2 linked regions of the Ovis aries genome follow. The protein of the gene in region 2 interacts with the protein of the main gene of each other region in a pairwise test. Links are inferred from orthologs where the notes say so. Each region holds a gene or a part of one and is shown on either strand. Other genes may lie near its edges. The genes, in order: USP15 and TRIM21.

What was found.
Region 1: the proteins of TRIM21 (region 2) and USP15 interact in binary tests that used the Homo sapiens proteins (3 or more experiments, as listed by UniProt). The link is inferred for Ovis aries from reciprocal best matches to the Homo sapiens genes TRIM21 and USP15.

The regions. Positions count from the first base shown.
Region 1 is NC_056056.1:157,401,690-157,406,180, forward strand, and holds the start of USP15 (ubiquitin carboxyl-terminal hydrolase 15), read right to left. Parts: upstream 3,045-4,491; 5' UTR 3,034-3,044; coding exon 2,945-3,033; intron 1-2,944. UniProt on the Homo sapiens protein: Hydrolase that removes conjugated ubiquitin from target proteins and regulates various pathways such as the TGF-beta receptor signaling, NF-kappa-B and RNF41/NRDP1-PRKN pathways.
Region 2 is NC_056068.1:49,582,507-49,586,305, reverse strand, and holds the end of TRIM21 (E3 ubiquitin-protein ligase TRIM21), read right to left. Parts: intron 3,586-3,799; coding exon 3,485-3,585; intron 3,190-3,484; coding exon 2,651-3,189; 3' UTR 713-2,650; downstream 1-712. UniProt on the Homo sapiens protein: E3 ubiquitin-protein ligase whose activity is dependent on E2 enzymes, UBE2D1, UBE2D2, UBE2E1 and UBE2E2.

The sequences.
Region 1 (4,491 bases), on a different chromosome or scaffold from region 2:
CCAACCTTTTTAAGAAGTATCTCTCTTTTACATCAATTTTGACATTTTTGTCACCACAAAATTTAATACCAAACATATCATAAGGTTTGTTTCTCATCTCAGACATGTGTAGCTTATTTTCATCTCTAGAAAGTTAGTTGCCAGATAAAAATCATCCACTATTTACAAATAAACAGAAATTCTAGTATCCACATAGAAGCAAATCTGTATCCTTGGCCAGGTGTTAGCATTAATTACCAGAGTAGTAAGAGGCAGTCCTTTTCTGCAAAGTGCTCACAACCTAATTAATGATCTTTACTTACTTGAATGTATTTGACTATAACATGAAATGTTACTATTAACATTTCAAGAATAAACTCATGGTAAATCTATCATTTTTTCTTAATAGTCCAATCAGTCTTTTCAAGTTGGTAACATACATATGCCAAGAAAATGTTTCATTTGCATACGGCCCATTTCAGCTATTAAAAAACAAACATAATTTGCCCACCCATAAATGACTAACCCAAGGCTTTTTTAAGACTTTAAAAAGAGAAATAACTGTTTAACAAGTTTTAATGAGTACCAAAAACATGAACCTAAGCGACAACTAAACCATTAAATATCTTTACGAATTCTGTACTCATGAACACATTATCAAATTCATACTTAAATTATTCTCCTTAAAATTCTGAATTAAACTTTTGCTAATTCCTTTTTTGATAGGTTTCACTTGCTAATTCCAAGTAAACTGGCTCACATATAAACCAAATTAGTTTCTGGAGCATCCCAGTACCATCTTTTCCTGTATTTTTTTCCTGTAAATGAGAGGGGAAATCAATTGTGAGGATAAAAGTTTGCATATTCTGCTGTTAATTAAATGTCTGGGCCTCAGTTTTCTTTTAAGATGGAAGCACTAAAATGCCTCAAATTTATGAACTTCCTGTATTTACTCTTATAAATATCAACAGATCTTTAAAATGATTTACAGTAACTTTGTCAAAAATAAAAATGCTAAACTTTAATGGTCACAATATCCATACTGCTTTGGTCATCCTTTATGGTTAACACCACCAATTATTACTCAGTATATCAAAACCACAACAACAGTAACAAGGAGTAATATACATAAAAGTAATATCTATATATTAAATTAAATAGCATCACCAACTCAATGAACATGAGTTAGAGCAAACTCCAGGAGACAGAGAAGGACAGGGAAGCCTGCCGCACTAGAGTCCATGGAGTCACAAAGAGTCAGACACAACTTAGCGACTGAACATCAACAAATATATTAAATTGTAGACTTGTATTTCATGAAAATCCACATTTACCTTTGTATAAGGTGGTATTAGGCAAGGTAAATTAAGAATGTTAAAATGTTCTTTAACAAACAAGAAGAAGGATTGATTTCATTTTTTACAATTCACAGGAAAAGGTAAATAAAAATGTCCTAGGAAATGTCCAATTTCCCCAGTAATTAACATCATAGGAACACTCCCTTATGAACAAAATGATTATTAAACCATATTTTTTGCTGTAATCCAACACGTATATGTTTACACTCAGGGATTTTTAATCATATAAAACTTACAGTGTGGCCTAACAAAATAAGAAAAAGTACCAAAACTTGGACCAAAGTATTTAAATTCAAGTCCCAAGTCTGTCATCTACTAGCTTACTTGACAGTGATTCTAGCTTACTTGACAATGATTCTAATACCACAGCATTTTAACAGAAATGGTGGTGATAAGAAGGTAACTAAAACTTAATGTTATATCAAGGCAGAAAATCTTGTAGACTATTTCACTGAATCAGGATAAACCCCTAAATGAAATTATTCTGTCCATTTCGTAGATGAAATCATTGAGATGCAATTTGAATTAACTTTCCTCAAAGTCACACTGCAAGCTAAGTGGTGGAAAGGCTAACCTAACGAGTCTAAATCTTACCCTCCTTCCACTAAGCCATAATGAGGAAATGAAAAAACACGCTGCATATTATACACAACTGTTATGGTGACGATGGAAAAGTGAAAATAACTTTTATTATAATAAAGAAGCACATGATCCTTCCTAATGAAACAGAGCATTTTAGGTTACATATTCACATACTTAAGTTATTTTGATTACCACTTGATATGGCCCACAAATATTAAAATCTACAAATACTTCCTTCGATATTTTAAGTATATCCCTTGGTATTTTATAAGTTTGAATGTTAGCAAGTGACTGAAGCTTCAAGTGGACTTATCTACTTCTTGCAGGCCTAACTTATCCTTCCAGTGAGAGGGAAGGACTGCACTTCTAAGAGAAACGCTGCTGGCGTCTATCAAGCCTCCACTAAAGCACAAGACCACGTGGTACCACTCAGAAGCCTAAGGTTCAGTACTCCTCTCCCTCCTTTTGACAAGGAACTAGGAACTAGGTTCCTTTCTCTTAAGCGGCGCCCTGACACATGCCACCTGTGTAGTAAGAACCGCAAACATCCTGCAGCCGGCCTCCCGGAAGAATACGAGAATCAGAATAGGGGAACTTGGATGCCGACAATGCAGGGAAAGGAAATGACTAAAGAAGTGAAGCGGGTGAGATCGTGATTAGCCGCGAGACCAGGACCTGTCAAACATTAAGTGAGAGTCTCACACTGAACGAGAGTAACCTATCGTTCGGGAAGGCCTGAAGTGGGAGCGGCACAACCAGAGGAAGAAGGACAAGGAGAACCGCACGAGCCGCCGCCGCCGCTCCCCGCAAGCCTTTCAGCATGCCTCGACGAGCCATGAACCGTGGCCCTCATTTCGGGTCCAGTCTTTGCCCCAACCTTGCGGAAGCGGCCAAAATCCTGCTGCCTGAGGCGGCCGCCGCCGGACCTGCCCGCACCTGTCACCAGCGAGACACCAGCCCGCAGTTCCCACCGAGTCCCCCACCATCTTCGGGCAACCGCAGCCACCTCAACCTCTTTCCCTCACCAGGTGTCCCCTTTCCGGAGCGAGGTTTTGAGCAGCGTCGCGATGTCAGACCGCTGGATGTCCAGATCTGCCGCTCCGCCTTCCGCCATCTTCTTCCACTAGCGGCAGCGGAGGCGGCAGCGACGGCGGCGGCACGCCCCAGAGCATTGTGGGAATGGCGTCCCGCGGCCCCTCCCAGTCGGCAGGTCGAAACCAAACGAGACGTAAGGCGGGGGGGGGGGTGCGCCTCCGGACCGGCGTTGGCCCCGGGCGGAGTGAGTGCTCCGCCGTGGTCGGCTGCCTCGCATCGGCCCCCGCCCGTCCAGCAGCTCGCCTCGGCCTCCTACGACCCGGGAACGCCTGGTTTTAACTTTCTGCTGTGGGGCCTGGATCCTGGCTCATTTGAGCGGTGCCACCGCCCTGTCCATCCTGCCTTCTGCCGTCCCCTCCGTCTTTCCCACAGACGCCTGAAAACCCTTATTTGCGCATTCACTCACGCTTGAGGGTGGGGCGGGGCGGGGGGCGTGGGGACGGCTGAAATATGGCAGAAAATTTGTAACAGGTCTGTGACTCGAGTCTCTCCGTTGCGAGTCTCAGAACCTAAACTCGGTGAAGATTGGGCCAAATCTAGCGACCCGAAGCCGAACGCTTAGCCGCAGCGCTCTTTCTGGGCTTTCTTGCGCTCCTACTCCTGCTGTAGGTGGAGACCTTTTATAGGCTCTTTGTGACGCCTCCCCAGGCACACCCAGATAGCTAAGCTGCAGTGAAAAACATGTTCCAGTTCCTCGGTGAACAAGGTGTAAAATATGTATCGAATAGTGCCAGGTACTAAAGTAAAGGAGCCAAAACAGGCAAGAAACCCATTCTCCTAGATACTGTGAAGTGACGTATTCCTAGCCACACCTTCCCATGGTGTGTGCACTTGAAAGTAGCTAATACCAGCAATTAGTTGAAGCCGATTATGTCAAAAAGGGGAAAATCGAGTCTCAACAATCAAATGCCAAGGTCACACAGCAAGTGGAGAGGCCAGTTTATAATCCAGCTTCACGTGCACACTGGCTCGCTGTCCAGTATAGTACACTAATTACCACTCCTTCAGCTCAGCTCAGTCGTGTCCGACTCTTTGCGACCCCACGAAAGCCTAAACTAACATAGAAACTAGGCTGCACTAATTCATTTAAAACAAACAAAAAACAACCCCTTTGTACATCTAGTGGCTAGCGCTTTGTACACCTAGTGCTGCCTAACAAGAATGACCTAAATATGTGTTTCAGAAATGAATTGTGGCAAAACTGCGTAAGTAATTCCAAGCATGAAGATGTCCAGCGATTTGACTGTAAGATAACATGATGTGAAAAGTCTAAAGGATGGATAAGAATTCCAGCATGATCTCTCGTTTAATTTTCAGCCTCTATGCTAACTCATTTGGTGGGAATGCAGAAAATGGGTGTAATATACTAATAAGTGTTGAACCCTTCCAAGTCAGGGTAGTATAATTTGTGTGTATCAGCATTAGGATTGCTTTTTTTTTTTGAAGTAATACTATTTTGTATTCTTGCATCCTTGAT
Region 2 (3,799 bases):
TCAAAAGGAAGTTGTGGTATCAAAGGCGATCAAAAAGCCAAGAGACCTTATTTGAATTGTAAAGGATAATATTAATCAAAGTTAGAAATTGGTGCTGGTAAATCTCTCATTTCTCAAGAGAATTAACAAAGTTTTTTGAAGCATAGTTGATTTACAGTGCTGTGTTAGTTTCAGGTGAATGGCCAAGTGATTCAGTTATACATGCACATGTGTCTATGCTTTTTTGTATTCTTTTCCAAGTTAATACAAAATATTGAATATAGTTTTCTGTGCTATACAGTAGGTTCTCGGTTATATATTTTATATAAGGTAGTGTATATATGTTAATCCTAAACTCCTAATTTATCTCTTCCAACCCCCTTTTCTTCTTTAATAACCATGTTTGTTTTCTACATCTGTTTCATATACAAGGTCATTTATATCATTTTTTAAAGATTTCACATATAAGTGTTATCATATGATACTTGTCTTTTTCTGGCTTACTTCACTTAGTATGATAATCTTATGTGTGATTACATAATCTTATGTGTGATTACATACACTCTTCTGGAGTGTACCTGGATCACTTATTAGTAATTATTGGTGGGGATAAAAGTTGAGATACTATGAAACCTCTACTATTTAATTCTTTTTGGTGGAGATGCAGGGGATGGCAGTATGTCCTCTGTGTAATATATCTGCAAACATCAAGGTAACCCAATATGCCAAGGTATTCAGATTTTGAGAAATAAAAATTTATTTAAGTTTATATCATTTTGGCAGTGTCCTCATATCAGCATATCAACTGAACGGGAAAAAAACACACCATCAATTACATTGGCCCCCCGCAAAGCAGAGAAGTAGAAAAGCTGATTTTATAATCTACCCTTCTAATAAAAAATATTTCTTTTTGACCCATGTTGGATATACAGAAATCCAACCCTTTCCCAGCACATCCCATTCATGATGAATTGAATTCTCCATATTCTCTCTAGTGCATCAACCAAAGCACTGGTCACCTTTGGCAACTTACATTGAGTTAGCTCTGTGATGTTGTCTCTTGCCTGAGGATTCTGCTGTTGCTATCTTTCCATCAAAGTACCTTCTTTCTGTCCAATGTTAAGAGAGACCTAAAAACAACAGCTTTTTTTGAGGTCACTGACATCTTTGTGTAGTATCTAAGTTTTTCATGAAATATTTAGCATATGTGCTAAGGGCAATCTGAGATTCTATTTTAGATAAGGAATCACATTTCCTGGAAGGACAGTGGCTCTCAGGCAGCCTGCTGATGTTCACATGTAGAACTTCATTGTGTCAACTTAAAAAGTTTAAATTCAACAAAAGTGTGTGCTGAAATCAGGTGATGCTGTTACCCCCTTCCTGGCCTTCACACCAGTTAGGATTCAACTGGTAGAGAACAGGAAATAAATATTATGAGATTTGCTTATGGTAAGAAATTCACTTATACATCTGGGAGGGCTGGCAAGACAAGTCATAAAATCCACAGGGCAGATTATCCAGGAAGGTGAAGTTCAGACTCTTGGGCATGAGTTGAAGCTGCTATTCACAAGTGGACTATCTTCTTCACAGGAGTCTCAGATCCACCCTTAGACTTCCACCTGATTGAACATTAGGCCCACCCACCTTATCTAGGACAACCTCCCTTATTTAAAATCAAATCATTATGGACTTTGATGACATCTACAAAAATACCTTCATAGCAACAATCTAGATTAGTGTTTGATTGAAAACCTGGGGGCTTATAGCCTAGGCAAGTTGGTCTATCAAAAAACTATCACACTGGCCATTTATGTTGATACGTTCTTTAACCAACACCACTATCAACAAGATGTGGTTGGGAGATAACAGTGGAAATGAGGGATCACAGCTGGTTAGATATTTAACACAGCAACCTAAGGTCTGCTTAATTCAGCCTTTATTTTAAAAGTTAATGCCTGTTTTCCTATAGGCACTGTGAAGCCACTCTTGATCAGATGCATGTTGGGAAGATAAACCTTGAGGTATACAAGATAGGAATGATGGGATAGATTGAGACCAATTTATTTAGGAAGTCCTGTGCAAGATACATGGGACTTCCCTGGTGGCTCAGATGGTAAAGCGTCTGCCTACAATGCGGGAGACCCAGGTTCAATCCCTGGGTTGGGAAGATCCTCTGCAGAAGGAAATGGCAACCCACTCCAGTACTCTTGCCTAGAAAATCCCATGGACAGAGGAGCCTGGTAGGTTACAGTCCATGGGGTTGTAAAGAGTTGGACACGACTGAGTGACTTCACTTTCACTTTGCAAGATACATAGTAGAGACTGGACCAAAAGCCTAGAGATGGAGAGGAAAAAGCAAAACTTGAGTCACATGAAGGCAGAAACATGCTTTAGTTGATCCAGATGAGTTTGGGGGCCAAATGCAAGTAGTTTGTTTCATGGAGGAAATCATAAAGCAACATAGGGCAGGAATCCTGGTGCTGTAGGTCATTTGACATAGACCGTGGGTGACCTTGGTGCCAGTTTGCCTGTGGCATCCTGATACATCTGCAGAGACGAAGGTGGTTTGCAGTTCATGGGCACATGAGACAGGGCCACTGGCTGAGGAGTGGAACCAACAGAGGGGTTGCTTGTGTCCAGAGAGAATCATCTAGATCCCTACCAGCAGGTCTTAAAGTGGACAGAGGATCAGAGGGGCTGAGTTTTTTCCTCTATCATTGAAACCAGGATTGAAGAAGGGCCGCAGAGGTCCAGCAAAGGCACATTCAGAGAAGGTGTAGATGAGGGAGCCATGGTCAGTGATGTTGTAGAAAGAGACAGTGCTGGCCTCATAATCTAGGAAGATCCCAATTCGGCTTGGAGGCACCTGAAGGTGGAGGGGAGTCTGGGGGCAGGTGCCAGCCTCATATTTTTGTTTGTTCCACAGCCAGATTATCCAGAAGCCATTGTCAGAGTTGAGCAAAAACTGCCCCTTCCTCCTCACATTGTCTCTACAAACACCCAGGTCCCAGGCTTCCTTTCCCGTCACATCTACTTCCCAGTAAACTTTTCCGGAGTCAAAGCGCTGGGCACCCAGTACCATGGGGTAAGTATCAAATCTCTCCTCATTTTCAGGCACGTCCTGCCGGGTGTTTGCAAGCCTCACTTGTCTCCGATTCTCCGAAAGGATGAGCCATGGATTGGCTGTCTGTGGATCCAGGGTGATGTGTACTGCAGAGAGAGGGCCACAGTCAGGCTGGGAGAGTGTGCAGAGTCAGCAACCCTGTGCCAGTGGTGGGGGGATGAGGATGAAGGGGTGACCCTGAGCCTCACTGTGTGAGGAGATGACTCCTAGCCAACTCTGACCCCTGCCATGACCTTTGAGGGAACCACCTTCCCTATTTCTGCACCTGCCCCACCTACTCTAACCGGCCATCTCTCTCCAACCCAGGGATGCACTGGGCACCCTCCTTATCCCCTTCACTCCCTTGGCAAGCCAGTCCCATACCCCTGGTGCTGGCCCCACCTCCACACGTCCTCAGCATCTTCTTAATCCCGGGCACATAGAATACATTCCTCAGGTCTGTGGAGGCGACATCCACCTCCTTCAGGTTCCATGATTCACTCCTGGGGGAAAAAGAATTAGAGACCCTGTCTCCAACTCCTACCTCATCCTGCCCAAATCCGATGGTTATACCACCCTTGTGGATGACTGATAATGTAATCTGATGCAAATTTGCAAACAGCTCCTGTGTTAGGGGGGCTTCCCAGGTGATGCACTGGTAAAGAATCCACCTCCCAGTGCAGGAGACATGGGTTCAATCCCTTGGGTCAGAAAGAT